Linked DNA regions of Macaca mulatta. The protein of the gene in region 5 purifies or fractionates together with the protein of the main gene of each other region. This does not show direct contact. Links are inferred from orthologs where the notes say so. Each region holds a gene or a part of one and is shown on either strand. Other genes may lie near its edges. The genes, in order: EEF1B2, EEF2, RBX1, GAPDH, EEF1A1, SNW1 and TUBB.

What was found.
Region 1: the proteins of EEF1A1 (region 5) and EEF1B2 purify together in Homo sapiens (affinity purification with mass spectrometry; 3 studies listed by BioGRID and IntAct, counting the BioPlex papers as one, with this or other methods). This does not show direct contact. The link is inferred for Macaca mulatta from reciprocal best matches to the Homo sapiens genes EEF1A1 and EEF1B2.
Region 2: the proteins of EEF1A1 (region 5) and EEF2 fractionate together in Homo sapiens (co-fractionation; 3 studies listed by BioGRID). This does not show direct contact. The link is inferred for Macaca mulatta from reciprocal best matches to the Homo sapiens genes EEF1A1 and EEF2.
Region 3: the proteins of EEF1A1 (region 5) and RBX1 purify together in Homo sapiens (affinity purification with western blotting; 3 studies listed by BioGRID, with this or other methods). This does not show direct contact. The link is inferred for Macaca mulatta from reciprocal best matches to the Homo sapiens genes EEF1A1 and RBX1.
Region 4: the proteins of EEF1A1 (region 5) and GAPDH fractionate together in Homo sapiens (co-fractionation; 3 studies listed by BioGRID). This does not show direct contact. The link is inferred for Macaca mulatta from reciprocal best matches to the Homo sapiens genes EEF1A1 and GAPDH.
Region 6: the proteins of EEF1A1 (region 5) and SNW1 purify together in Homo sapiens (affinity purification with mass spectrometry; 3 studies listed by BioGRID and IntAct, with this or other methods). This does not show direct contact. The link is inferred for Macaca mulatta from reciprocal best matches to the Homo sapiens genes EEF1A1 and SNW1.
Region 7: the proteins of EEF1A1 (region 5) and TUBB fractionate together in Homo sapiens (co-fractionation; 3 studies listed by BioGRID). This does not show direct contact. The link is inferred for Macaca mulatta from reciprocal best matches to the Homo sapiens genes EEF1A1 and TUBB.

What each region holds. Positions count from the first base shown.
Region 1 is NC_133417.1:111,412,107-111,416,221, forward strand, and holds the start of EEF1B2 (elongation factor 1-beta), read left to right. Parts: upstream 1-1,315; 5' UTR 1,316-1,640; coding exon 1,641-1,720; intron 1,721-2,240; coding exon 2,241-2,363; intron 2,364-2,999; coding exon 3,000-3,126; intron 3,127-3,529; exon of another isoform or gene 3,530-3,608; intron 3,609-3,688; coding exon 3,689-3,755; intron 3,756-3,881; exon of another isoform or gene 3,882-4,011; intron 4,012-4,115. UniProt on the Homo sapiens protein: Catalytic subunit of the guanine nucleotide exchange factor (GEF) (eEF1B subcomplex) of the eukaryotic elongation factor 1 complex (eEF1).
Region 2 is NC_133424.1:4,793,804-4,797,918, forward strand, and holds the start of EEF2 (elongation factor 2), read right to left. Parts: upstream 2,801-4,115; 5' UTR 2,726-2,800; coding exon 2,723-2,725; intron 1,704-2,722; coding exon 1,489-1,703; exon of another isoform or gene 1,469-1,488; intron 675-1,468; exon of another isoform or gene 595-674; coding exon 413-594; intron 322-412; coding exon 110-321; coding exon of another isoform or gene 42-109; intron 1-41. UniProt on the Homo sapiens protein: Catalyzes the GTP-dependent ribosomal translocation step during translation elongation.
Region 3 is NC_133415.1:10,578,625-10,582,759, forward strand, and holds the start of RBX1 (E3 ubiquitin-protein ligase RBX1), read right to left. Parts: upstream 2,801-4,135; 5' UTR 2,780-2,800; coding exon 2,702-2,779; intron 265-2,701; coding exon 186-264; intron 1-185. UniProt on the Homo sapiens protein: E3 ubiquitin ligase component of multiple cullin-RING-based E3 ubiquitin-protein ligase (CRLs) complexes which mediate the ubiquitination and subsequent proteasomal degradation of target proteins, including proteins involved in cell cycle progression, signal transduction, transcription and transcription-coupled nucleotide excision repair.
Region 4 is NC_133416.1:7,484,571-7,488,600, reverse strand, and holds the start of GAPDH (glyceraldehyde-3-phosphate dehydrogenase), read right to left. Parts: upstream 2,801-4,030; 5' UTR 2,758-2,800; exon of another isoform or gene 2,666-2,757; intron 2,489-2,665; 5' UTR 2,472-2,488; coding exon 2,443-2,471; intron 768-2,442; coding exon 668-767; exon of another isoform or gene 645-667; intron 587-644; coding exon 480-586; intron 358-479; coding exon 267-357; intron 177-266; coding exon 61-176; intron 1-60. UniProt on the Homo sapiens protein: Has both glyceraldehyde-3-phosphate dehydrogenase and nitrosylase activities, thereby playing a role in glycolysis and nuclear functions, respectively.
Region 5 is NC_133409.1:112,151,338-112,155,358, reverse strand, and holds the start of EEF1A1 (elongation factor 1-alpha 1), read right to left. Parts: upstream 2,801-4,021; 5' UTR 2,788-2,800; exon of another isoform or gene 2,150-2,787; intron 1,842-2,149; 5' UTR 1,812-1,841; coding exon 1,668-1,811; intron 1,314-1,667; coding exon 1,134-1,313; intron 1,014-1,133; coding exon 717-1,013; intron 634-716; coding exon 483-633; intron 396-482; coding exon 139-395; intron 42-138; coding exon 1-41. UniProt on the Homo sapiens protein: Translation elongation factor that catalyzes the GTP-dependent binding of aminoacyl-tRNA (aa-tRNA) to the A-site of ribosomes during the elongation phase of protein synthesis.
Region 6 is NC_133412.1:150,938,364-150,941,479, forward strand, and holds the end of SNW1 (SNW domain-containing protein 1), read right to left. Parts: intron 1,430-3,116; coding exon 962-1,429; 3' UTR 501-961; downstream 1-500. Other genes in the region: SLIRP (SRA stem-loop-interacting RNA-binding protein, mitochondrial), read left to right, coding at 398-463. UniProt on the Homo sapiens protein: Involved in pre-mRNA splicing as component of the spliceosome. As a component of the minor spliceosome, involved in the splicing of U12-type introns in pre-mRNAs.
Region 7 is NC_133409.1:152,322,544-152,326,813, forward strand, and holds the start of TUBB (tubulin beta chain), read right to left. Parts: upstream 2,801-4,270; 5' UTR 2,727-2,800; coding exon 2,670-2,726; intron 1,628-2,669; exon of another isoform or gene 1,344-1,627; intron 701-1,343; coding exon 592-700; intron 323-591; coding exon 212-322; intron 1-211. UniProt on the Homo sapiens protein: Tubulin is the major constituent of microtubules, a cylinder consisting of laterally associated linear protofilaments composed of alpha- and beta-tubulin heterodimers.

The DNA.
Region 1 (4,115 bases), on a different chromosome or scaffold from region 5:
GCAGTGACCTCGGACTGAAATGTTCTTCCCTGGCCCCTCCTTATCCTTCAAATCTTGGCTTCGAAGCCTTTTCTCAGTTTCATTGACCAGCCTATCTAACATTTCCTGACGATTCCCCAGAATATCACCCATTTTATTCTTCTTTACGGACTCATTTCTGGCTCGTAGTAAACGTTCAGTAACTGTTAAGTGAACTGAATCTCTAATTTCTGGTCGTTAATTTGTAGGGACCACTTTCCCGGATTTAAAAAGTGCAGGTGCTCTGGCAGCGTTAAGTCGGTGAAAACAAGACTATTCCGCAAAACAAAAATAACCTGTTTATTCATCAAAAAGTTATTGTTACACTTCTATACTGTCAATTCGTGTGTGAAGTTGTGTCTGATCCAAGACCTCACAGTACAAGCATAGATCCCAATAACTTGTAAACAATATTTTGTTATTCGCAATGCAACCCTGAGCTAACTTTTCAAAAAGTCATTTTTCTCAATTTCCCGTTAGTGAAAGGAATTTAAAAATTCTGTCCAACGTGGTCAATGGACAAAACAAATAAGGACAACAGAAGCGTGAGCCACTGCTAACACAACAGCGACCAAACAATCATGTACTGTACCAGGCGTGTAAAAATCTGGGGGAAAAGGCTCAGTCTTAAGGCTTAAGTCATCGGACACTGGTCCTCTACCGGGGAATAAAACGGCCTCCTCTGAGAGGGGAATGTCCTGAATTTTCCCTGCAGAGGGAAGGTCACCTACAAGCCCGCATTCGGGCCAGCGCTCCCGAGGGCCCCCTAATCCTCATCTTCCTTTCTGCTCCATCAGACCAGAGACCGTGGCTAAAAGCCCCACTTGCCGGCTCTCAGAGGCTTCCGAGGCGGCGGGGCGGGAGGCGGCTCCCAGTCAAGGACAAGAGAAGACTAAGTCGCGTGGGCCAAAGGAAACAGTCCCGTCAATAAATAAGCCTCTGACCCATGCACCTCACCCTTCCCATCCATACAAGACCTCACCTTCTCCCCGGAGCCGCGGAGGCTGTTCTGCTAAACTGTCTGGACCACAACTACCCCCTTGGAGGCCGGGTCGCTTACTCAATATGGCGGCCTCAGCTAACTCTGTCAGCCGGGCCTGGAGAACGGAAAGCCCGGAGGGACTAGAATCCTTGCATTCGATAAGTTTGTCGGCAATTTCCGTCAGCCGACCAGAGGGCGGAGCTGAGGTCGGCCCAGCCCGGAGGCGGGAAGGACAACTTGGACCCGCAGTTCCGCCGGAAGTGGCCGGCAGCCTCGAGGCCGAGCGTCTTCGGTCATCTCCGGCGCTTCTAGGGGCGGTTCCCGTCATCTTCGGGAGCCGTGGAGGTATGAACTTAAGACATGCCCATTTTATTAATTTATTTCCAAACGCAACGAAAGATCCAGGGACAATTTGTGAGCCGTTTAATTCAGGGCCCCCAATTCGTACGTGGAGAAGTGGGAATGCTAACGTACTTTGACCTTTAACCTTCGGTCCGGCGTGGTGGAGGGAAACGCCTCCGTCTCTATATAAGGAATTTTCCGGCTTCTCCGGGCCCTTTTTCCTCTCTTAAGCGCGGGGAGCCCACAACTTGTGCGCTCTCTTTCTGCTGTTTCCCAGCTCTCGGATACAGCCGACACCATGGGTTTCGGAGACCTGAAAAGCCCCGCCGGCCTCCAGGTGCTCAACGATTACCTGGCGGACAAGAGCTACATCGAGGGGTGAGCGGACCGGCTGAGTCGGGGTGGTGGAGGGGTTTCTGGGACCGGGGCCGGGGCCACGTGGCGCAGCGTGTCGGCTGCCGCTGGAGGGAGGGAGACGGGGCCCCAGGGCCCTTTCGAGGATGACGGGAAAGCGCCCCGTGGCCATCTCCCAAGGCCCTCGTGTGGTGCGAGCCCGGCCTCCGGGGAGCGGCTCACGAGCAAAGGAAGGTTAAAATGTGCTTTATTTACACTTAATTCAGCCAGGTGTTTCCACATCGCTGCCCAGTTAATACATGTTAGGTTGTAGATAGAGCAACGTTAGAGATTGCAGTATTTGAGGTCTGCAGACATTTCTCAGGATAGCGCGGTGACCCAAACATATGGTTTGATTTTAAGGAGATAATAAGAAAAGAAAAGCATTAAAGCAACCCTACTGGAGTTAGTGCCCACTAATTAATGTGATGCATAGGCACTGATTATTTATTCGCTGGCGTTTGTTTTTCAAAGGTGTGTGTGAATGTCTCTGTGTCATTGGCAGGTATGTGCCATCACAAGCAGATGTGGCAGTATTTGAAGCCGTGTCCGGGCCACCGCCTGCTGACTTGTGTCATGCCCTACGTTGGTATAATCACATCAAGTCCTACGAAAAGGAAAAGGCCAGGTAAAATCATCTTTGTATCTAGCTGAAGAATAAGACTACTCTCGAAGCTTTATCAGGATGTTCACATGACAAAACTAGACCCAGGCTACTTTAGTTTTGTTGGGGTATTGTAAGCTAAATTTTTCTGTAACCTGAGAAGGCCAAGAGACTGAAGCCCTCCATTTTTTCACAGAACAGGTAGAACATGGACAGCAGCAATTCAACTTTTCCCCACACTGCCCTGCCAATGTGCCTCGACCTTGACCTGGGGGGCCCACCTCTGGGGTGAGAGGGTGGCTCATTCATTCAGTCCTTGGCCATTCTTCTGAAACTGCCAACAAGGGTGGAAGTTTGGGGAAGTGGACTCCAGTTCACTAAGAATGGAACTGAGCATACTTAATGAAATCTCAAACAGAAATGTTCATACTGAAAGAGTAAATCATAGTGAGTATTGAAAATAATGTCTCACATGGTACTAATGCTTGTCGGGTGAGGAGTTGAACATATGATAGTGTTTACCTGGGAGCATGTGAAAGGGTAAATTATTATTGCAAAAGGGATCTAGTGATAAGTAGTGATTAAAACAAGTTATTTTGTATTGTCTGGAAAAGTATGTTATACTAGCTCAATAGTGGTTGAATTTAAATGTTTTTCAAGCCTGCCAGGAGTGAAGAAAGCTTTGGGCAAGTATGGTCCTGCTGATGTGGAAGACACTACAGGAAGTGGAGCTACAGATAGTAAAGATGATGATGATATTGATCTCTTTGGATCTGATGATGAGGAGGTATGGCATCTTCTATAAAGAATATATCGGCCAGACACGGTGGCTCACGCCTGTAATCCCAGCATGTTGGGAGGCTGAGGCGGGTGAATCACGAGGTCAGGAGTTCAAGACCAGCCTGACCAAGATGGTGAAACCCTGTCTGTTCTAAAAATTTAAAAAAATGTGGCGGGTGTCTGTAATCCCAGCTACTCAGGAGGCTAAGGCAGAGAATTGCTTGAACCTGGGAGGCGGAGATTGCAGTAAGCCGAGATCATGCCACTGCACTCCAGCCTGGGCGACAGAGCAAGACTCCGTCTCAAAAAAAAAAAAGAATACATCGATCAGCAATTTTATCAATGTGGTTAAGCCAAATTGCCTGGATTTGAATCCTGGCTTTAACTTATATGCCTTTTTCAAATTCTGACTGGTTGCATGATGAATAAAATCAAATCACCATCTTTCGGCTGAGTTCGTGATGGATTTGCTTTTTTCTGATTAAGCCAGTCTTTTTTGTGATGACCCCACTAGCTTTAAGCAGATGACAACCGACTTTCTGAAGTGGATTAATTTTTTTTCTTTACAGGAAAGTGAAGAGGCTAAGAGGCTAAGAGAAGAACGTCTTGCACAATATGAATCAAAGAAAGCCAAAAGTAGGTCATTTGTTTTTAACTTCATTTCATGATAATGTAAGTAATCTTTTTCAAAGCTTGACCTTTAAGTAATTTCCTCCACATTCCTTGAACAGGTCAATATTTTAAAACCTCCTGTAGAAGTTCTTCCACAGCTACTGGTCTGCAGCTGTTCTTATGGTAGCAGTTGTGGCATTCCTCTGTGGGAAAGAAACTGTTAACACAAACACCTCTTTCTTAGCAAAACAGAAAGTGGGCATATGTGTGACAGACACAAGATGTATCTGTAGTTTTGTTTGGCTAAGGAGATAGTCAATCTCAAAACAAATTGAGGTGATTTGTTTGTGTCTTGGAGTAAGGTAAAAAAATACAGTTCATTAT
Region 2 (4,115 bases), on a different chromosome or scaffold from region 5:
CATTCCTGGCAAAAACACACTTCCAGTCCCCTCAGCTCAACTCCGCTCCCCGCCAGCTCCTGCGGTGCCCACTGCGGCGGGCACACCACCCAGCCAGGGAGGGCCGTACCATGATGTTGCCCATGGGGCCGCTCTCGCCCTCGCCATAGGTGGAGATGATGACGTTCACGTTCTCCACAATGCGCTGGAAGGTCTGGTAGAGCTCCTCGGGCTCCAGCTGCAGCTCCAGCAGGGCACGGTCCATCTTGTTCATCATCAGCACAGGCTTGATGCGCTCCGCAATGGCCTGCCGCAGCACTGTCTCCGTCTGCACACACACGCCTAGGGATGCAGGGCACGGGGCGGCGCTGTCATCCTCAAACAGGGAAGGCCCCGGGTTCTAGGCCCTGCCTCAGGGGGACCCGCTGCTTACCTGACACGCAGTCCACCACAACCAATGCACCATCAGTGACTCGGAGGGCAGCGGTCACCTCCGAGGAGAAGTCGACGTGCCCGGGGGAGTCGATGAGGTTAATGAGGAAGCCGGCGCCGTCCTTGCTCTGCTTGATGAAGTTCAAGTCATTCTCCGAGAGCTCGTAGAAGAGGGAGATGGCACTGATGGAGGGAGGGATCCATCAGGGGGACAGGATGCACACACCTGGCCCAGGGAGGCTGGGATCCTGTCAGAAGCCAGGCTGCTCCTCCCTCCATGACTCATCCCTTGAGAGGCTCCCACAAGACCCAACCCACCCACAAGACCCAACCCACCCTTGTCCTTTGCCTCCACAATACTCTGTCCAAGACAGGCCCCCCGCCCCCCCCACAGGGAACTCCTGGTACCAGCCCCACAGCCAGCGACTCAGAGCCCTCCTGACCAGACACTCTGCCCCACCGACTTGGTCCCCCCAAGACTCATCACACCTGACTCAAAGTAGCAATGAAAAGACCCCGCAGGACAGCAAAAGCCTTCAGAGACTCTGACCCTTCCCTCCTCACTTCTGCCCCTGCTCCAGTGAAAATGAAGAGCTTTAGCCAGAGACCCTCACTATGGTGCCAACCCAGGACAAAAGGCATTTGGGATCACTGTGCTCTGCGCTCACGTTTTAGACTCTCACCCCACTCACGTCAGGGGCCAGAAACTGTCACGGAATGAACGCCATCCAGTGCAACACAAGAGCTTTCCGCATCCTGAGTGCCAGAAACACCCCCCCTTCCAGGTGTGACAGCAAAACCCCTCCAGATATTGTAGGAGTGGCGGCAAGTCCCCCAGGGAAGGAGAACCACTGAGTGAAGCCCCTCCTCAAGAAAATCTTCCGGCTCGCAGTACCCCCAATCCCTGTGACTCTTAATCCCCGTCTCGCTGGACTGAACCTCACTCATTCTCCCATGAATTAAGAAACCAGGAGAAAGAGACGTTGCCTAGTCTCTCCCCGCCCACCCTGGCCCAGTGGCCTCCAGCTGCCAGGCCAGCACCTCCCTGCCTGGGTACAGAGGGCACAGGGAGCTCACGTTGACTTGATGGTGATGCAACGCTCCTGCTCATCCTTCCGGGTGTCAGTGAAGCGTGTCTCCCCGGCCCGGGCCGAGGCGATGATGCCCGCCTTGCACACCAGGGAGTCTGTCAGCGTGGACTTGCCGTGGTCCACGTGGGCGATGACAGACATGTTTCGGATGTTGGCCTTCTTGTCCATGATGGCGCGGATCTGGTCTACCGTGAAGTTCACCTGGGCAAGAAGGGGAGGCTCAGACCAGCTCGAGATTTCCAGGAACACGGCTTGGCATGGAGCGTTCGGTCCAAACGAACCAGCATGCCCAAGGCCAGGAGGGGACTGGTGTTGGGGTACCCGAAGCCCACCCAATCCTGCCAGCCTAACACGCCTTGAGAACTACCCCACAATCTCCAAGGATCCACTGTCAACAGATGTCATCCAGAACGGACAACCCAGAAATAAAAGCGCTCAGAAATAAAACTCAGTGGCAACAGATTTCCTTGATACCGAATATAAACACTAAAGAGTTATTAGAGGCCAAACACGTAAGGGGTGAACCTTCTCCCAAAGCCCCCTCCACGTTGTCATTGGGCCACCCAGGCTTCCCCGACCAAAAACTGTCATAATAAAATGCAAGGTCACCCCTCGGCAAGAGGGATCACACAAGGCCACCCACCCCAGGAGATAACGGGGAGCCGGAACGGCCCTAACAGCCACAAGCCTACACCTCGTGTCTCAAAACGAGTCTTTGCACATTTCGGAGTCACAAGGACAAGCGCCTAGGGCCGACAGTTAACAGCATCAGGAGAAGATATTTGGGAGGAAAAGGGGAACCTTTCAGGTGTCGCTTTGCTGGTTCTGCCATTTCCCTGCCGCCCCTAGTCCCCCGGCAGAAAATCGATCTCAAACTCGCGGCCCGCGAGTTACATAAGGCGCCTCCCCGTCTCCCCGCTTCCACCGCGGTGCCCGCCATTACAACGCCTGCCACATCATCATACCCCACCCCCATCCTCCCTAACACCCCAGCTCCAGCCAGGTCTGGGCAAGGTTACGGCGCCCCCGGAAGCGGAGAAGGGGCTCCGTGAACAGTGCGGCGCACAGACATGGCGGCGACCGCTGCCCCAGCCCCGGCTCCTCCGGCTCTGCCGCCGCTACGTCTCCTCCCGGCACGGGCGGCCCCAGCGTCTAGGCAGCGTCGGCCCCGCGGAGGTCCCGCCGCCGTTCCGGGACACCAGCGAGGCAGGGTTACTCACCATGGTGGCGGATGGCGGTGGATTCTCCCAGGTAGAACCGAATGAAGCGAGCCGCGCCGAGGATGGCGACGACGACGGCGGAAGAGAACGCTGACGTCAACACTCAGCACTTTATAGGCGGACGCCGGTTGGGCGGGTCATGTGACTGCGCTGCGGAGGCGGGGCGAAGCGACGCCGCGCAAGCGCACGGAGGCGTTCCCGCACACCTCCCCCGTTAACCCATTCGGCGCTGGCGAGGCTGCTTTAGGATACAGTCTGGGCGTCTCGGGGATGGTGGTCGCCCTCGGTATGCAGTGTTCAGGTGCACAAAGCAAAGAGCGCCGTTTTAGCTGAGAATAAGAACCATAGCAACGATATCAGCTTACAAAATGTCCAGCACTTCTATTAAAGCCACATTGCAAGGTGAATAGAGTCTGTGGATTTTACCCAAGTCAATTTCCCGGTTTGGGCGTTGTTATGTAAGCCGATATCCCTGGGAGAAGCAGAAGGAAAAAGGACACTCGCGACCACTATACTGTTTTTCAACTCCTTACCTGCAATTATTTCAAAATAAAAAGATTTATAAGAAGCAGGCATCGGAATCACTGATCCCACAAATGCATACTGAGCATCTATGCACCAGGCATTGTTAGAGGTTTTGTAGATACAGCAGTGGACAAAACACCTTGCTAGCTTGACCACACTGCGTGCACTTCTACTAACTACTAAGATTTCTCTTTGCCTCAGTTTCCTCGTCTGTAAATCGGAGGTGATCAATACCACTCTTGTTTGAGGTGGGCTAAAACGAACTAAAGACATCTAAAAGAATTAGCACCGTGCCTGATACCCAACGCTCAATAAACGCTATGTATTTTAATTAGCTAAGATTGCTATTAATAAAACATTTATTTCAGGACTGGTTTGCCATGTCCCAGGCACCCGGCTAAGCGCTTTACTGGCACAATTTCATTTTCTAGTTCATTTCCTCTCCAGGGGGAGGCGCAGGAAGACTGTTTAGCATTTGTGTCCTAATCTGACCCTAAGAAACAGTTGAATGTGTTTCATAGCTCATGAATTGGCATTCAATTGAGTATCTCTATTCCTTATGAAAAGCCCAGCCCGCTGTTTAGCACATAGTAGGTACTCAGTATTTCTTGCATGAATGATGTTCTCGCAGTGCAAATGAACCCCCTGCGGCACGTCTTTCCCTAAACTCACTTTGTGAAACAGAAGAGCCACTGCAGTGCTTTTCCTGGGCTGAGAGAGGGGGAGGTGTGGATCCACAAAAAGCAATGCAAATTCCAGCCTGGACTCTAAAATAAACCTGTACACTCCTCCCCCTCACAAATGCTTCGGGCACTTTGCTTTACAAAGCGCTGTCTCAACCTTGGTTTTCATTTAATGGATGATTGCT
Region 3 (4,135 bases), on a different chromosome or scaffold from region 5:
GGTATGCCTCCAGGACATCATAAAAAAACTACTCTATTTCAAACACACCAAAAGACTAGATACAGAAGACCGAGTGCTCAGAGTAGGCTTGATATCTGCTTGTGAAGAAGAAAATCGGTCACATCAAGATAGCCACAAGCTCTGCAACCTTCTCAACTTCCTCCCATCCTCCTCCAATTACTTACAAAGATCCATAATGTGGTTCCTGCAGATGGCACAGTTATCAACCACAATATCCCAGGCCCAGAGGGCTACTGCATTCCACTGCAAAGACAAAAAGAGGGAACAATGCATTCTCCTTATAACACACACACAGTTTTTAGGACTTCAGGCTGCAGTTGTAGTTATGATCTCTGGCCACAAGGAACCACCAAACAAAAGGTTTTGGATATTATGTTAATCTTATTATACCAAAGACAACAGTAGACAACACATACGTTCTCCTATTCTCCAAAAGACTGAGTATATGAAGACATAAATGAATGTCATCTTTTGTTTCCTGTAGTTTAAAACAATTTAGTCTGGCCGGACGCAGTGGCTCACGCCCATAATCCTAGCATTTTGGAAGGCTGAGGCGGGTGGATCACCTGAAGTCAGGAGTTCGAGACCAGCCTGGCCAATATGGCGAAACCCCGTCTTTACTAAAAATACAAAAATTAGCCAGGCTTGGTGGCGGGTGTCTATAATGCCAGCTATTTGGGAAGCTAAGGCAGGAGAATCGCTTGAATCTGGGGGACAGAGGTTGCAGTGAGCCGAGATCGTGCCACTGCACTCCAGCCTGGGCGATGGAGTGAGACTCCATCTAAAAAAAAAAAAAAAAAAAAAAGCACAAACTTGAATTTCTGTGCAGGTTTTGGTGGCAGTTGCAGAAGCGCTCAAAATCTGAATAAGTATCTGCTCTTCCAGGCAGCTTTGGAAGCATGAGCAATGAAGTGAAAGCTAGGGAACAGAATGAACTAAGATGATGACTGGATCATAAAACAGGTAATCGTGGGATAAGCTGGATAATTAACTGCCCATGTCAGTACACAGAACAAGGTCATCACTTAAATCTTAGATTACTTCATAACAAATTCTACAATTCACTAGAATTTTGTTCGATTCTTACCATAAAATAAACTGATGTTCTGAACTTTTATATGTTTAGACTCTTCTATTAAGATAATAATTCCAGGCCGGGCGCGGTGGCTCAAGCCTGTAATCCCAGCACTTTGGGAGGCCGAGACGGGCGGATCACGAGTTCAGGAGATCGAGACCATCCTGGCTAACACGGTGAAACCCCGTCTCTACTAAAATACAAAAAAAATTAGCCGGGCGAGGTGGCGGGCGCCTGTACTCCCAGCTACTCGGGAGGCTGAGGCAGGAGAATGGCGTGAACCCGGGAGGTGGGGCTTGCAGTGAGCTGAGATCCGGCCACTGCACTCCAGCCTGGGAAACAGAGCTAGACTCCGTCTCAAAAAAAAAAAAAAAAAAAAAAAAAAGATAATAATTCCAGTAAGAGTTTAATTAAAAGTGGCATTTCATTCATTCAACTCTGGTTTCCTCAATTACAAGTACTCCCAAACCTTCATCGCTTTCAAACCCCAGTCTCAGTGCCTAGTAACTTCTTCACCACTTTTCACATCACAGCTTCAACTTGGAGGAAAAGCCCCTACTTCTATTATTCTTCAATATGGCTGGCTGTAACTGAGCAGCAGTGGCCACAATGAGACACCAAAAAGCACTAGGAGGGGGGGGATATTGTCAGTGTTTAGCCAGATGTTCCAGGAATATCTTCCCTATTTCAGAATCTCCATTTCGAATAGTTTTCATGTTAGGTGGGAATCGACACTTTTCTCCCAAACTGTGGCAAACCACTAAAATGCATTTCATGCAAAAGACACGTTCCATTTTTGCTTTCCCCTCTTACCAAGTCATTCGCAACTAGTACTCAACCCTTCCGAAATGCCACAGGATTTGGGCTCGGATTTTCTTAACAAGTTCCACCGTGCTTTTTATTATTATTTCGGAAGGGGGAGATTCTGAACGTGACAGAGAATCCAAGAGTGGGGTGGTTGTGGGAAAAGCCAACAGACGTCTCAGAACACCCAAGCATTACACTCCAGACTCTAACTCGGCGGTGTGAGGCCCAGAGATGGGGTTAATGGAGGCCTCGGTTCAGCGAGGAACAAGTCTGATCCCTTCAAGTGAGAGGACCCCAAGCAAGCTTCAAAAAGGGGCGGAGCAAGATCACTAGCGGGGCTCCTCAGAGGCCTCCAATGCGGTAGGACCTCAGGTTCCAGGCTTTCGCCGCACTGCCCCATCCTCCACCGCCGCAGTCGCTCTGACTCCCCATTCCACCCACCCCACCCCACCCCACCCCACCCTACCTCACCCCACCCTACCTTCCCCCACCTCTCAACCACTCCAGTGACAGCTCAGGCGCTTGGCTCCCGCCGCCAAGTCGCAACCCCGCGTATCTCAACAAGCAGCTCTGTGATTGGCCCCTCAGCCTCACATCGAAACCAACACTTCCCCTGACAGTGGGCCGCCGTCACGCCGATCAACTCTAAGGCCCGCCCCCCGACTTCCTTTCGTGGTACCCGGTCCCAGGAACGCCCTAAAATGAAACCCTTTACTCCGCGCCTCGACCATCCTCGGGCCTGCCAGCCAGATCCGCGCCTCTCTAGCTTCCCTGAGGAAGGCGCTGGCGAGACCCAACCTTTTTCACTTCAAAGCGCTTCTTGCCCGCGCCGCTGTTGGTGCCGCTCGGGGTATCCACATCCATCGCTGCCGCCATTTTGGAAACACACGGTCTGTCGTCCGACCACCGCGCCTGCGCAGCAGCGCACACCTCGTTCCCCCAGCCTCCCCGGCACCTCCTCCCGCACCCCACCCCTTACTGGCGCGCGTGGGGGAGGTGGGGGCGGAGCACGTGACCACGCCTCTTAAAGGGGCTATCGCAAGTCGCCCCACCCGCGAAGTGTCGGCCGGGGAGGGGGCGGTGGCCGGAGTGGGTGGGGCGGGGCGGGGCCGGGCGGGGCCGAGGCTACGTGAGCTAGCCTGGTAGAAACGTTCGAAAGGGCTCGAGGTCGCCGCCTCCTCTGGGAAGCCCCCGGCCGCACTCCATCAGCTGGGGCGGCGGCTGCTTCCTCCGCCTGAGTCGGACCTGCGCCGCAGTCCTGTCCTGCCTACCGGGCTCGCCCGGTCGCCGCGCGACTCCCATTGCTAGCCGGGGTGGGCGCCCGCCGCCTGCCCCGAAACCTGAGAGCCCTCGCTGGTCTTTCGCAGACTCTGACCCACCTCCGAGCCAGGCCCAAGGCGCAGTCCGCGTGGGAGGGCTGGGGCCCAGGCACCGTCTGGTCTCCGATTTCTGTTCGGGAACTGCTCAGGGATCGATGGGGAGAGAGGAGAGCCCCGAAGGTCCTCCCTAAGGCCAGACTGAGCAGGCCCCCAGTGCTGCCCTCATCCCCCCGCCAAGCCTGGAGGGTGGCCTCTGCGCCCGCTTAGTCGCAGTCCTAGGACCGCCTTTGGTCGTGGTGCGCGGTTTCACCGTGGCGTGTGTCAGTCCCCACTTCTCATTCCTCAGTTGTCATCTTGTGTAGGGTGATTTCTCCCCAGTCTGTGTCCTCTTTCCGCTACTTGTGCTATAGTGAAACCGACCCATCTGCAGTCGCTGTATTTCTTTAATTTTTGTGAAGCATTCTTTTTGGGGTGTTTTTTTGAGACGGAGTTTCGCTCTTGTTGCCCAGGCTGGAGTGCACTGGCGCGATTTCGGCTCACTGCAACCTCCACCTCCCGGGTCCAAGCGATTCTCCTGCCTCAGCCTCCCTAGTAGCTGGGATTACAGGTGTCCGCCACCACGCCCGGCTCTTTTGTATTTTTAGTAGAAACGGGTTTTTACCATGTTGGCCAGGCCGGTCTCGAACTCCTGACCTCAGGTGATCCGCCTGCCTCGGCCTCCCAAAGTGCTGGAATTACAGGCTAGAGCCGATTTTTTTTTGTTTTAAATAGAGACAAGGTCTCACTCTGTTTCCCAGGCTGGTCTCGAACTCCTCGGCTCAAGCGATCCTCCCACTTCGACCTCCCAAAGTGCTAGGATCACAGGAGTGCGCCACCGCGCCCGACCCAAGCACCTGTACTTTGTGTCACTCTC
Region 4 (4,030 bases), on a different chromosome or scaffold from region 5:
GGGGAGCGTGTCCACAGGGTGCCAGGCTGGCCGCTTCTCCACTGGCCCTGCCTTCCTCACCTGACGATCTTGAGGCTGTTGTCATACTTCTCATGGTTCACACCCATGACGAACATGGGGGCGTCAGCAGAGGGGGCAGAGATGATGACCCTTTTGGCTCCCCCCTGCAAATGAGCCTACAGCAGAGAAGTAGACAGTTATAAACCCGGGTTCTGCCTCTGCAGGGCTGAGCCAGCTTCCCCTACCGCGGGCCCTCCTGCACTCACCCCAGCCTTCTCCGTGGTGGTGAAGACGCCAGTGGACTCCACGACGTACTCAGCGCCAGCATCGCCCCACTTGATTTTGGAGGGATCTCGCCTATGGGGTGGGGGAGACAGGGATAGGACATATTGAGGGACACGAGGTTACCATGTACCCAAGGGAGCCGCACCACCCTAGCTGCCCCCCACAGCACATTTCTCCCACTGCCTTCCACTCACTCCTGGAAGATGGTGATGGGGCTTCCATTGATGACGAGCTTCCCGTTCTCAGCCTTCACGGTGCCATGGAACTTGCCATGGGTGGAATCATACTGGAACATGTAAACCTGGGGGAATACGCAAGGGTGTGAAGGGGCTGCCTGGCAGCCAGGTGGCTCCTCCCACATCAGCTTTGGGGCAGCACTCACCATGTAGTTGAGGTCAATGAAGGGGTCATTGATGGCAACAATATCCACTTTACCAGAGTTAAAAGCAGCCCTGGTGACCAGGCGCCCAATACGACCAAATCTAAGAGACAAGAGGCAAGAAGGCATGAGGAGGGGAGGCTTCTCCACAGTATGTGAGCTGCCCTAGGACACCTCTCCATTAAGAGGGCGAATGCAGCATCTCCTTACCCCCAACATCTCCTTACCTCCATTAAGAGGTGAATTGTATCTCCCTTGAGCTCCCCTGCCAGGCTGGCCTGGCTTTACGGCATGGCTGCAACTGAAGGCTCCACTGCTGCCTAACACCCCCCGTCATAGGAAGCCCTTCCAGGAGAAGCGGCCATGTGGGGCACTGCCACCCACAGTCTGGGCACAAGCTTTGCACGTGGCATTCAGCACCTCACTATGCCACCCCAGGAATGCTTGCTGCTGCCTAGCTCAGCCTCAAACTGCACCGTTTAAGGAGAAAAGATTTGTACACTCAGCATCACCAAACTCAAAGGGCAGGAATAAAGGTCAGAAATTAATTGGACAGGGCAAGCCCACCCCTTCTCTAAGACCCGCCTACAAAAGGGACAGAGATTGGGCCGGGGGAAGAGGGGAAGTTGTTTTTTAACCCCCTAGTCCCAGGGCTTTAATTTGCAAGCTTCTAGTCCTTTCCTAGCTCTTTTCCAGAATTCAGGAGTGGGAGCACAGGTGTGTGCATGTGTGTGGGAGAAGGGATGGGAGACGGCCCAAGCCCAGGCCCCCAGTTACAGAAAGGTCAGCAGCTATATTTATCCTCAGACCAGGGTGCGGTGGGAGATCTGGTTTCTGGAAGACGGAATGGGGAGAAGGGCAGGTTTCCCGAGGCTCCCAGACACCCAATCCTCCGGGTGACATTTACAGCCTGGCCTTTGGGGTGGGGTCAACGCTAGGCTGGCAGGGGAAGAGGGGGGCCATAAGGTGAGCCGCCGCTGCAGAAAGGGGCCACCGCCAGAGGGGCCATTTTGCGGTGGAAATGTCCTTTTCCAACTACCGATGACTCAGCTCCCCCCGGCTTGGCACCAAGCCACAGCCACCACACCTCTGGAGGGAGGGGACACAGGAGGACCTCCATAAACCCACTTCTTTGATTTACCAGAGAATTATCTAGAAAAAGCATCACCCGGAGGGGAAATAGGGCTTGCAGCTCAGGGGCCGACTTGAGAGCAGGGGCCGGGAAGCCTCGCTCCACCTGACTTCCCCGCCACACGCGACTCCACCCACCGAGGCAGGAGCGCAGGGTTAGTCACCGGCAGGGTTTCCTAACGGCGGCCCATTCATTTCCTTCCCGGTTGCAACATGGCGGCCGCTCTACCGCAGGCGCAGCCTCCGGACTGGGATGCACCCGCTGCGCACTAGCATCCCGGGGCCTGCGGTGCCGGAGGCCATGGGGGAGGGGCTCCTCTGCGACACGTGACCTCGCAGAGCGCGAAAGGAAAGAAAGCGTCCCCAGCTAGGGGTCCGGGTCGGATGGAATCTCGGGCGGGAGTAGGGACCTCCTGTTCCTGGGGACTAGGGAAGGCAGGCCCCGGGCAGATGGCGCCGCAAGGGCGGAGCTGCACAGGGCGCCACAGCCTGGGTGCGGGGCTCCGCCAGGTCCGAGCGCTGACCTTGAGCTCTCCTTGCCGGACGCAGCTACCCTACCCCATACGACAGCAAAGACCCGGAGCCCGCAAGGCTCGTAGACGCAGTTTGCGGGCGGCCCAGGGCCCCCCAGCCACCCACGAACTCACCCGTTGACTCCGACCTTCACCTTCCCCATGGTGTCTCAGGGATGCGCTGCGCGGAGAGAGAGAACAGTGAGCGCCTAGTGGTCCCGGTCGACACCCACGCCTCCCCTCCCCTCCCCTCCCCCCACCAGCCTCCATGCCCAGCCCGCGCCGCATCACGTCCTCCGCCCGCCCCTGCAATGCGGAGGCAGCCCGGGCCCGGACCCGGACCCTGGCCCGCGCCCACCCCGCAGCGGCGCGAACACGTCCGGCCCACGCCCGCTCCTGCCGCCTTCAGGCCCGTCCCTAGCCTCCGGGCTCCTCTCCGCCCGTCTTCACCTGGCGATGCAAGAGAAAATGCGGCTGACTCTCGAACAGGAGGAGCAGAGAGCGCAGGGGGAGGCTGCGGGCTCAATTTATAGAAACCCGGGGGCGCGGCGGCAGGCGGTGACTCTGACCCCGCCTCCCGCCGGGCTCAGCCAGTCCCAGTCCAAGGACTTGAGGCCTGAGCTACGTGCGCCCGTAAAACCGCGAGTAGCGGGGCCCTGCTTTCTCCCTGCTCTTTTTTTTTTTCCGCAGCCGCCTAGTTCAACTGGGCACGCATCAAGCGTGTGGGCCCCGACGGAGGGGGGAAGGGACTGAGACTGGCCCGATGGGAGGTGATCGGTGCTGCTTCCCAGGACTGGAGTGTGGGCAGCAGGAGACTAGGGAGTCAAGGACGGGGGCCCTTACACGCACGGATGAAACAGGACTTTGGGAGCGACTGAGATGGGGAATTGGAGCCCGAGCCCTGCACGGCTCGCGGCTGCACGCGGCCTGCCCCCTCCCCTTTCTTTCAAAGGCTGAGAGGCGGGAAAGTTGGGGAACTTCTCCTCGAGGCTCTGCGGTAGTGACACCGGAATAGCTGAAGCAAAGGGCTAGGAGGGGCCCGTGGGCCCTTCCCAGCCCCCACTTCCCCCTCCCCATCTCCTGGCTCCTGGCCTCTCTGGGACCGAGGCCTGGCCTGGGCACTGGGCAGTGGGGGCCTGGAGAGGAAGGAGGCTCGGGAGGCGGCTTGAGGGGGAGGTTTCTACACGGAAGGTCACGATGTCCTGCAGCCCTGTAGCTTGGACCTGATGATTAGGGCAGACAATCCAGGCCCTGTGTGCACCAGCGGCTCTCCCCGGGCTGGGGCCCCAGGCGGAGGACAGGATGGCTGGTGGGGGCCCAGAGGCCTCCCACAAAGTCACTCCTGGAGCCCCGTGGGCTGTGCTGCCTAGGGTGAGAGACAGTGTGCTTTTCACTCCATCCAGCCCGGGGCGAAGAGCGGGACGTGAGGGCGGAAGTGCCTCCCCGCCCTGGGACGTGCAGGCGAGCCAGGAGCCAGGGACTCCCCTTCACTGGCTTCGCTGGGGGATATTGAGGGCAGGGTGAGTCAAGAAGAGGGAAAAAGTGGGAAAAGAGGTCTTGGGCACATGGTGGGAACAGGCCCCCTGCCCCTTCCCACAGGGTATCCATTTCTCTGGTAGGAGGGCAGAGGGCCAGGTTTGTGAGTGTGGGATGGGAGCGTGCTGAACACTTGTAAGGAAGGGGGTGGGGTGGGGTGGCCTTGGCCCATCAGCAGGTGCATGGG
Region 5 (4,021 bases):
TAGCCAGCACTTATTTGGCCTGGATGGTTCAGGATAATCACCTTGGAAAAAAAGATTTGCGTTCAGTGTAAATCCAAAGTCTCAAATGACTTTAGCCTCTGCAATAAGGTAGGAACATGTTACTTTAAAAATTGTTACCTGAGCAGTGAAGCCAGCTGCTTCCATTGGTGGGTCGTTTTTGCTGTCACCAGCAACGTTGCCACGACGAACATCCTTGACAGACACATTCTTGACATTGAAGCCCACATTGTCCCCAGGAAGAGCTTCACTCAAAGCTTCATGGTGCATTTCGACAGATTTTACTTCAGTTGTAACGTTGACTGGAGCAAAGGTGACCACCATACCGGGTTTGAGAACACCAGTCTCCACTCGGCCAACAGGAACAGTACCAATACCTAAAAATATTTACAGCATACTAAATACCTATGAAGGAAGATAGTACTCTACCAACTCAAATTCAACTTTGTTGACACCCAACTTACCACCAATTTTGTAGACATCCTGGAGAGGCAGGCGCAAGGGCTTGTCAGTTGGACGAGTTGGTGGTAGGATGCAGTCCAGAGCCTCAAGCAGCGTGGTTCCACTGGCATTGCCATCCTTACGGGTGACCTTCCATCCCTTGAACCAAGGCATCTGAAACACAACCATGCCAATTTGTGTAAGCATGAAATCGCCATTCCCAGAGCTTTTTAACAACGGTCTTGAAAGCCACTTACGTTAGCACTTGGCTCCAGCATGTTGTCACCATTCCAACCAGAAATTGGCACAAATGCTACTGTGTCGGGGTTGTAGCCAATTTTCTTAATGTAAGTGCTGACTTCCTTAACAATTTCCTCGTATCTCTTCTGGCTGTAGGGTGGCTCAGTGGAATCCATTTTGTTAACACCAACAATTAGTTGTTTCACACCCAGTGTGTAAGCCAGAAGAGCATGCTCTCGGGTCTGCCCATTCTTGGAGATACCAGCTTCAAATTCACCAACACCAGCAGCAACAATCAGGACAGCACAGTCAGCCTTTAAAGAAAGCAAAGACATATCCCTGTCAACTCTCCAAAGGACAAAACCAATGCACAAGACAGGCATTTCAGGGAAAAAAAAAAAAAAAAACAACCTAGAATTATTAATCCCACCAACCTGAGATGTCCCTGTAATCATGTTTTTGATGAAGTCTCTGTGTCCTGGGGCATCAATGATAGTCACATAATACTTGCTGGTCTCAAATTTCCACAAGGAGATATCAATGGTGATACCACGTTCCCGCTCAGCTTTCAGTTTATCCAAGACCCAGGCATACTTGAAGGAGCCCTTTCCCATCTGTAAGGATTAAGAGTTGTTACTTGGTTACTAACACACAAACTCCAGCTTCAATTTCTTTGCCCCCAGCCCTTAATTGGCACATAGTTTCCACTTTACAACTGCAAGTCCTAAGCAATTTTAGTCACTTAGATAGGGTTACAGAAGCAACCAAAAAGCAAACTTTTTAAAGTAGGATCTTGACTATTAATATCCAAATCGAAACTACTCACTAGCAATACGGTTACAGAAGTAACCAAAAGCAAACTATTTTAATAAGTAGGGTCAGATCTAAACCACTCACTAGTTCTGGGGAAATCACTACCACTTAATGATTCTGCTGGTAAAACTCATTTTAGTTCATCTTTCCCATACCTCAGCAGCCTCCTTCTCAAATTTTTCAATGGTTCTTTTGTCGATGCCACCGCATTTGTAGATCAGATGGCCAGTAGTGGTGGACTTGCCCGAATCTACGTGTCCAATGACGACAATGTTGATATGAGTCTTTTCCTTTCCCATTTTGGCTTTTAGGGGTAGTTTTCACGACACCTGAAATGGGAGAAAAAAACTTTGAACCACTGTCTGAAGCTTGAGAATAAGCCAAGATCCAAATTCGAAAAGGGCAAATTCCAAGGAGAATTACATCGAGCGCCAAGCTGGCCTAACTCTTCAGTCTCCACCCACCAAGTGTGGGGAAACTCCACCGCACAAAACCCCTCCCCCAAACCTAAGGAAGACGTACTCCAAAAGCTCGGAGAACTAATCGAGGTGCCTGGACGGCGCCCGGTACTCCGTGGGGTCACATGAAGCGGCGACCGAGGAGGGAAAGGCCCTTTTCCTTTGTGTGGGTGACTCACCCGCCCGCTCTCCCGGGCGCCGCGTCCTCCATTTTGAGCTCCCTGCGGCAGGGCCGGGAAGCGGCCATCTTTCCGCTCACGCAACTGGTGCCGACCGGGCCAGGCTTGCCGACCAGGGCGGGGCGACACACCGCCGCGCGAGGCCCGGCACCAGAGCAGGACGGCCAGCTTGAGACTCCCCCCGTCCGACTCTCGGTGGCCGCGCTCGCAGGCCCCGCCTCGCCGAACATGTGCGCTGGGACGCACGAGCCCCGTCGCAGCCCGCGGCCCCCAAAACCCCAATATCAGTGTGCAGATCCTGGTCCGCATTTATAAGATTATCTCGCCAGGAAAAAGGCGTTGCAGCTGGTCATCAAAAATTTTAAATGGCTAGAAACTTAGTGAAAGCAGCGGGGCAGGCGCGAAGGTGCTACCAGATTCGCACGCGGCAGCCCCAGAGCCCAAGCCAGGCCTCGACTCAAGCACGAGGCGAAGGGACTCCTTAAGTGCAAGGCCTCGACCTCTCCCACCCACTTCCAACCCGAAGCTCGGGATCAAGAATCACGTACAGCGGCCAGGGGCGTGTAAGTAATAAAAGGCACGCGAGGGCCATAGCCCGTAAAGAGGCCAGGCCCGCAGGAGCCACACACAGTACTTACCTGTGTTCTGGCGGCAAACCCGTTGCGAAAAAGAACGTTCACAGCGACTACTGCACTTATATACGGTTCTCCCCCACCCTCGGGAAAAGGGCGGAGCCAGTACACGACATCACTTTCCCAGTTTACCCCGCGCCACCTTCTCTAGGCACCGGTTCAATTGCCGACCCCTCCCCCCAACTTCTCGGGGACTGTGGGCGATGTGCGCTCTGCCCACTGACGGGCACCGGAGCCTCACGCATGCTCTTCTCCACCTTGGTGATGACGAGAGCGGGCGTGTGAGGGGGCGGGAACGCAGCGATCTCTGGGTTCTAGGTTAGTGGGAGTTTAACGACGGTCCCTGGGATTCCCCAAGGCAGGGGCGAGTCCTTTTGTATGAATTACTCTCAGCTCCGGCCGGGGCGGGGGGGGAAGAGGAGGGGGAGGGGGAGGCGACGAGGTGGCGGCCTGGAAGGGACGTCCAGAATCTTTCCTCTACCATTGCTAGCTTAGCCCCAAAGGTTGTGTTGAGATTAGGGTGTACCTTCGCCCCCCAATCAGCCTCCTGTCCTCAGCCTTGCTATCTCGCTAGTCCGTGACAAATCCCTAGAGCGTCGTCTTCTGCCGGTCTCAGCCCAGCCCCGGGTTGGCTCCTCCTCCGCCCCGGCTTCCGCGCCCCTCCCGCGTGGCAAGGAGTACCAGGCCCGGGGACCCCGAGGGGCTTGGGGCGAAGGGTCTGGACTGGAGGACTCCTTAACGGCTCACGGACCTGCGAGAGGTTCGGCTCGATGGCCGTGAGCTCGACGAATCCGCTCCTGTGCTGGCCTCTTGGCTCCTTCCATTCAAAGCCAGCTGCTTTTATCAAAGCCCGTAACACGTCATCTCCCCCTGGTACTCCAGATGTCCAGGCTTTCAGTTTAGAATAGACTCAGTCCTACAGTTAGCTTTAGATCTAATTCTAGTTTTGTTACGCCAAAAAGTTCCTGCGAGTGTGTGTGTGCCTCATGGTACTTTTTAAATTAAAAGGTGTACAGTCATTTGATTGCAAACATAAGGAAGCTAAAAAGCTTTCAAATTCAGATTTTCCACGTGATCTCATGTAGAGACTAAGATCTACAGCATCAGCAAGTTTATCCACCCAGTTTCCTAACCCCAACACTTGCTATGAAGTCACAGCTTCTCCTATTTAAATAAGTGCCTATTATATTTAAATAAGTGCTTTCTTTTTCTGTCATCCTATAGATTGTAACTGCATTTT
Region 6 (3,116 bases), on a different chromosome or scaffold from region 5:
GGGCTGAAATCTTGGCTTTCCCACCATGTGATCTTGGGCCAAATTGATCTACTATTTTATTTTTAAATTTATTTTTAATGAGACAGGCCCTTGCTATGTTGCAGGGTGGTCTTGAACTCCTGGCCTCAAGCAATCCTCTTGCCTCAGCCTGCCAAAATGCTGGGATTACAGGCCTGAGCCACTGCTCCTGGCCTGATTTACAATTTTTAATTGAGGGTTAGGGAGTCATAATATCAAGAAAGATGGTAAAAGGAATTTGAGGAGAAAACAAAAGAACAAGGTACAAATAAAAACTGCCTGAGTTATTCATACTGATTCCCTAATAAAAAAGCGATTTTCAGTTTGAATGTTTTTGCAAACATTGCCTTTCCTTCCTTACAGTGCTTATTTTTTTCAGGTCCAGGTTCAAGCTCAAAAGCCAAAAGTTCTGCCGACATCTGATGATGAAGAGAAAGATTTTTGAGACCGCAGCCTATTAATAAAGTTAACATAACTGAGAATTTTGTCTAAATGTTTTTATTTGAAACAAATAGTTGCACCAAGCAAGAGGTTACTTTGCCCACTCCAAATTAAAACAGAGCACAACAGGGGCAAAATTTATTTGGCAGGATAGTTCCAGTATGTGAACATCCTCCTCACTGTGGTTGGGGTAACTTTACTCATATGCAGCTGTTCTTACACAAAATATTAACCCCAAACTACTAGTGTCACACAAAAGGAAGTGGTCTTGACTTTGTATGTGGGGCAGCATGTTCTATAAATGCTGAAAGGTGGGAAAAGCACAAACACAACCCACTCTTTAAAAAAACTAAGTAATTCAAAGTAGAATTTTCTATCTCCCCCCCATTCTCCAGTAATAAAAAGTAGTGCTGGGATCCGACACCCAGATTTGTTTTTTATCCTGACCATTTACAAAGTGTTCCCCCGTATGACTTGCATCATTAGGGTAATGGGTAATAGTTCATTCACTATGAAGAGACCTGTGTCTACTCCTTCCTCCTCTTCTTGCCTTCATGCTCATGTTCCTTGGGGCGGCTGCTATCTGAGGGTCTTTTAGAGCCACCATGCTGTTTGGCTTCTTCCAAAAACTTGTCCAAACCAAAAGGATCTTCCTCAAACTGAACTGGTCCTTCTCGGCCTCTCTGTCTACGGTCTGAACCAGAAAACTCCTTGTCGGGAACAAATCTAGGGAAAAAGAGAAAAGACTATGAACTACTTTGCTTTCACCAGTGTAAACACTGAAATTGAGTTGTATGGATTGGTACCTGTTGGTTTTTATTCTGGCTTCTAGATCATCACCATACATGTCCTTGTCCAGATTTTTACTGGGCCTATAAATACTCTGGGCCATATCTTTACCACCTCTCCAGGCTTGATCATAAACATTATAAATTTCATCTTCTCCACCTGCAAATCCACTGTCCATACCCTGTGGAAAAATGGATGACATTAAATAAAAGTGTAAACACTTTATCAAAAGCTGAATCATAACATGTTTACAGTAAACCCTTGCTAATTTGTAGCTCACATTTTCAACAATCTGAACTGCAAATTAAAGGTCTTCATTAAAAAACTGCTAGCACATAAACTTCATAACTTTGGATTCTTTTTTTTTTTTTCTTCAGACGGAGTCTTGCTTTGTCACCCAGGTTGGACTGCGGTAGCGTGATCTTGGCTCACTGCAGCCACTGCCTCCCAGTTCCAACGATTCTCCTGCCTCAGCCTCCCAGGTGGCTGGGATTCCAGGCACGTGCCACCACACCCGGCTAATTTTTGTATTTTTAGTAGAGACAGGGTTTTACCATGTTGGCCAGGATGGTCCTGAACTCCTGACCTCAGGTGGTTGCCTGCCTTGGTCTCACAAAACGCTATATAAGCTCACTGCAGCTGCAACCTCCCTGTGCTCAAGTGTTCCTCCCACCTCAGCCTCCCAAGTAGCTAGGAGTACAGGTGTGTGCCAACATGTCCAGCTAATTTTTTGTACACAGGGTTTTGCCATATTGCCCAGGCTGGTCTTAAACTGGGTTCAAGCAATCTGCCTGCCTAGGTCTCACAAAGTGCTAGGATTACAGGTGTGAGCCACAGTGCCCAGCCAGAAATATTTTCATCACAATTTTTAAATGTTTTAAGCTTAAGCTTCTAACAGGTGATTATCTTGAAAATATTTTACTTACGTGAAATTTCACCCCTAGATCCCTTTGCTCAGCTGGTAAGCTGCCTTTGTATAGTGGTTAAGAAAGCTTTGAAATGCGCTGGGCGCAGTGGCCCACGCCTGTAATCCCAGCACGTCGGGAGGCCAAGGCGGGAGGATCACAAGATCAGGAGTTTGAGACCAGCCTGACCCAACATGATGAAACCCTGTCTCTACTAAAGATAGCCGGGCGTGGTGGCATGTGCCTGTGATAATCCCAGCAACTCAGGAGGCTGAGGCAGGAGAATCCCTTGAACCTGGGAGGTGGAGGTTGCAGTGAACCAAGATGGCGCCACAGTACTCCAGCCTGGGTGACAGTGAGACTCCATCTCAAAAAAAAATAGTAATAATAAAGCTTTGAGATCAAGACTTGAATCTTAATTCCATCAGTCACAAGGTAAACCTGTGTTTCAATTTCCTCATCTATAACATGAGAGAATAGTATTATTTCAAAGGATTTTTGTAAGAATTGAGATAATAACAAGATTTAGAACAATGCCAAGAATATAAAATGCACCTAATAAATTATCACTTAGAAGAGCTTACTTAAAACCTCCAAGTCATAAAGTTTCCCACTCCACTTTCCAGTAGAACTTACACCTTTGTATTCTTACCGTGTGTGTGTGTGTGTGTGTGTGTGTGTGTGCACGCACCCGCCTTGTGTTTTCCCAGGCTTAAAGTGTCCTAGTTAGCTAATGGCAATTGGTACTAGAAATCAGATTTCCTGACAGCCAGCCTAGTACTTTAATCCAGTTTTACAGCTTCATTTTTAAAAGATTCCCAAATTGACATATTTCTATAGCATTAAAAAAAAAAAAAAAACCCAAAAATGAACAACAAAAAACCCAAGAGGAACTTTTGTAGGACACTGGCTCTATTTTATTTTTTTGAGATAGAGTCTCAGTCACCCAGGCTAGAGTACAGT
Region 7 (4,270 bases), about 40 Mb from region 5:
TTCACTGTGATGTATTCTCCCCCCACTGCCCCATAATGTACCAGCAACAGCAGGCACTACCTCTACCCTACCTCTACCCTCCATTAGATTTCAGAATACAGTTCTTAGCACTCCAGTACAACAATCATCTCCTAACTTTTGCTGTGTCCTTGCACCCAAATAAGTTGAACACGATAGTATATCATCTGCTAATATCATCTGTATAACTTACCAAATACAAAGTTGTCTGGTCTAAAGATCTGGCCAAAAGGACCTGAGCGAACAGAGTCCATGGTCCCAGGTTCTAGATCCACCAGGATGGCACGAGGAACATATTTGCCACCTACAAAGAATAAAGTTAAGAGCTGTGAGATCTGGCAGAGGGAAAGGTTTATAGATACACTGGGAATGGAAGACAGCAGGGACCCAAGACTTGTTCCAGGTCCTGCCACCAGGTGGCAGCAGACGTCTTTGGCCCCGACGGTGGTTCACAAAAGGGAGAAAATGATAGATTCACCGAAAGGGGATAAGGCGTGCCAGGAATGGAAAGAGACCCCAGAGAAGTGGGAGACAGGGAAGGGGAACCTGAGCTGCCCGGGCTCTTGCCCTTACCTGTGGCTTCATTGTAGTACACGGAGATGCGGTCCAGCTGCAGGTCGCTGTCCCCGTGGTAGGTGCCGGTGGGGTCGATGCCATGTTCATCACTGATCACCTCCCAGAACTGCCGGGCAGGAGCAACGAGACCACAAGTCAAGTCCCAGTCAACTACGTCCCCAACTACCATTTTATTTCATCTTTTTCTTAACTTTTTTCTTTTTTTTTTTTGAGACGGAGTCTCGCTCTGTCGCCAGGCTGGAGTGCAATGGCGCTATCTCGGCTCACTGCAACCTCTGCTTCCCGGGTTCAAGCGATTCTCCTGCCTCAGCCTCCGGAGTAGCTGGGACTACAGGCGCGCGCCACCACGCCCAGCTAATTTTTTGTATTTTTAGTAGAGACGGGTTTCACCATGTTGACCAGGATGGTCTAGATCTCTTGATCCGCCCACCTCGGCCTCCTAAAGTGCTGGGATTACAGGCGTGAGCCACCGCGCCCAGCTTCTTTTAATTTTTAAGACAGGGTCTTCCTCTGTTGCCCAGCCTGCAGTGCAGTGGTGCAATCACGGATCACTACAGCCTGAAACTCCCAGGCTCAACCGATCCTCCCATCTCAGCCTCTCGAATAGCTGGGACCACAGACGCGCGCCACCACACCCAGTTAATTTTTTTTTTTTTTTTTTTGAAGAGATGTGGCCGGGGGGAGGGGTCTCGCTTTGTTGCCCAGGATGGTCTCAAACCCCTGAGCGGGAGCGATCCCAATTAGCCCGCCTCAGCCCCACATCTCCCATTTTAATCCCACACGCGCTCAGGCCGTTGTTCTAGGGCCTGGCATCCCGTGTGCCTGCCACACCCTTCCCCTAGACACTCGCTCCCCCGGGAAAGCCACAGCTTTCCCGGCTCGGGATTATGTGCAGCGGGTCCCAAGTGCTCGGTGGGCGGATGGAGGTCGACCATACTTGGATAAGCGCCGCTGTTCTTCCCCCGAGCTGGGCACCGCCCCACCGCGCGGCGCACAAAAGGCTCGGGGCACTAGAAGAGCTGCTGCCGCAGTCGACCACCCCCCACCCTCCACGTGACTGCGGCGCACGCGCAGGTCGAGCCGCCGACAAAGGACTTCGCACGTGGGCGGGGCCAGGGGCAAGAATTCCGCGCGAGGGGCGGGGCCCAGGGTAGCGCGCCCCTCCCGGCGGGCAACGCCGCATTGTCCCCGCGCGCCAGCGGCGCCCTGGCCCCGCCCCGCAGGGCCCCGCCCTTCTGCTACAACGTAGCACCCGCACTTCCTCCCGCCCCTCCCCCGCTACACTGTAACCGCGCGCAAAAAAAAAAAAAAAAAAAACCCTTGGCCTCGGAATTTTATTCCTTTGCTAGATTTCTCCCCCTTGATTTAAAGCATTCTTTCTCTCCCATTAAGTCCTGAAGGACTCGTTAAAGAAAACCACACACCCCCATTTTCTCGACATATCAGTTCACGCCCTAAAGAGGTCTCGCTTAGGTGCCATGAAAGCAAGAAAAATTAATCCCGTTCTTATTCTCCTTCCACCCCGGAACAACTACAGGACCGGCCCTCCGGGGTCGCGGGCGCGCTGGGGTCCCTGATCTTTTGTGAATGGTAGCGCCCAGCGCAGCCCACCCTGGCGCATCGCCCCCCGACCTTTGCACTGGAGCTCTCTGCAGCCGCCCGACAGCCTCACCCCTTCCCGCTCCCGTTTGGCCCTAAGAACCCCGCAGGGGGGGCTGGGCGGGATGCACATGGGCAAAACCTCGCCCCGCTTTGTCTCCGACTGTTTCCGCATCTCTCTCCCTGCCCGGTTCTTGGACCGTTAGAAGCCCTTTTAAGTAACATATGTCCTTGGTCTTCCCGCCCCCGAAACCCGAAGAGCCCTTTTACTAGTTTCTCCAAAATGTGCCTGCCAAGAAAAATGATTCCCAGTTTTCCAAAAGCAAATGCTAGTTATTATATATATAAATGTAACAAACTTGGGAGGGGCAAAGCTTGATTAAGAATGGAGAGTGCAAATGCCCCACAACCATTTTTTCATAACTTACCTGGATTTTTCCTTCTAAAAAGAAATAAAAGAGGTGTAAAATTCTTACCTTGGCACCGATCTGGTTGCCACACTGACCGGCCTGGATGTGCACGATTTCCCTCATGGTTAAAATTAATTTTTTTTGCTCGCCTCAAGGTATGTATGGGGCAAGAAAATAAGTAATTTTTTTTCTCTGCAGGTCGCAGGCTGGAAGGTTGGAACGCGCCCCAGACGCTGGAGCAGCGAGGTGCGAACGCGGCGGCAGGAAGGTTCTGAGAGGGAGAAAGGAGAGGGGAGGGCGCGGAGGGAAGGCAGGCTGGGCGGGGCGCGCGTGCGCCGGGGCTGGGAGGCGGGAGAATCGGCCCCGCGCGCGGTCGGGAGACAAAGCCTCATCGAGCCTGGCCCTGATTAGTCGATGCCGGTCATGTACCAGGCGTCCATTGGCCTCTGAGCCAGTGGACGAGCGCAGTCCTCTTTGGGAGTTGTAGTCCCCTATTGTTGTTCACGGTGCAAAATGAAGTGACGAATGGGTGGGTACCGGTTTGGTTTTTGTTGGGTTTTTGTTTTGTAAATGAAAAACGACCTTGCGCAAGATTCCTTTCCTCTGTGCCTGAGGTTTTTGTACAAAAAGTGAGCAGTTCTCGGGGATGCAGGGATTGAGAAGTCTGGGGTTCCAGAAGTTGGGTGGTGAGGTACGCCCTAAAAGCTCCCAGCTGCAGTACCTCTAGGGAAGACAGAATTGCTTAGCTCAGCGAAAAATGGGGAGGAGTGTGGCACCGTGCTCTGCTACCTCTGGCCTTTGGTGACCCAAGTCATGAACTTAAGTAAGCTTCTGCTCTCTCAAATACTTCAAGAAGGGAATCGCCCTCTTGCTATTTCCTTGGAAATTTTCGAGTCATTGTTTTGAAAGAGAAACAAAATTGCAGCAAGGGCTTTTCAGGATAGAGATGTTGTCTGGAGAGTATGTTCAAAGAATAAAATAGTTTAGAGAAACCGACATCGGGGATTTGTGAAACTAGAAGTCTCCATCCACGTAGGAGATCTGGGCCTTAGGGCAGACTTTGAAGACACCTTGATCTTCTTGTCAAACAGGGAACTATGGAATGAGATGCCTGATAGATTTTCAGTTTTTTCAGCCTACCTTTTTAGACATGTTAATGAAGTCAGTGGTTTTTCAATTCGCTTATTTCACTGACCAGGTGGCCGCCATTGCAACTCTGCAAGATACCCAGTATTGAAAAAGGAGAGAGGGGAAATTGATGGGGGAAAATTGGATGGGCTCAAGACAGAGTCCACCAGCTTCTTCCCAGAGATTTATTCACTTATTTGATAGTTACTATGTATCCACCAAATTAGGAACTATGGTTACAAAATGATTAATAATTAGTTCCCTGTCCTCCAGGATGTTGCAGTCTGGCCACTCAGAAATGTAGTATCAAGTCAACATCATTGTTCATTCACATTCGATTACACACAGATCTATATATCTATATATATATATCTATATCTATCTATATATATATATATATTGTATTTTTGGTACAGACAGGGTTTCGCCATGTTAGCCAGGATGGCCTCAATCCCCTGACCTCGTGATTCGCCCGTCTTAGCCTCCCAAAGAGCTGGAATTACAGGCGTGAGCCACCGCGGCGGGCAGATCAATGTATT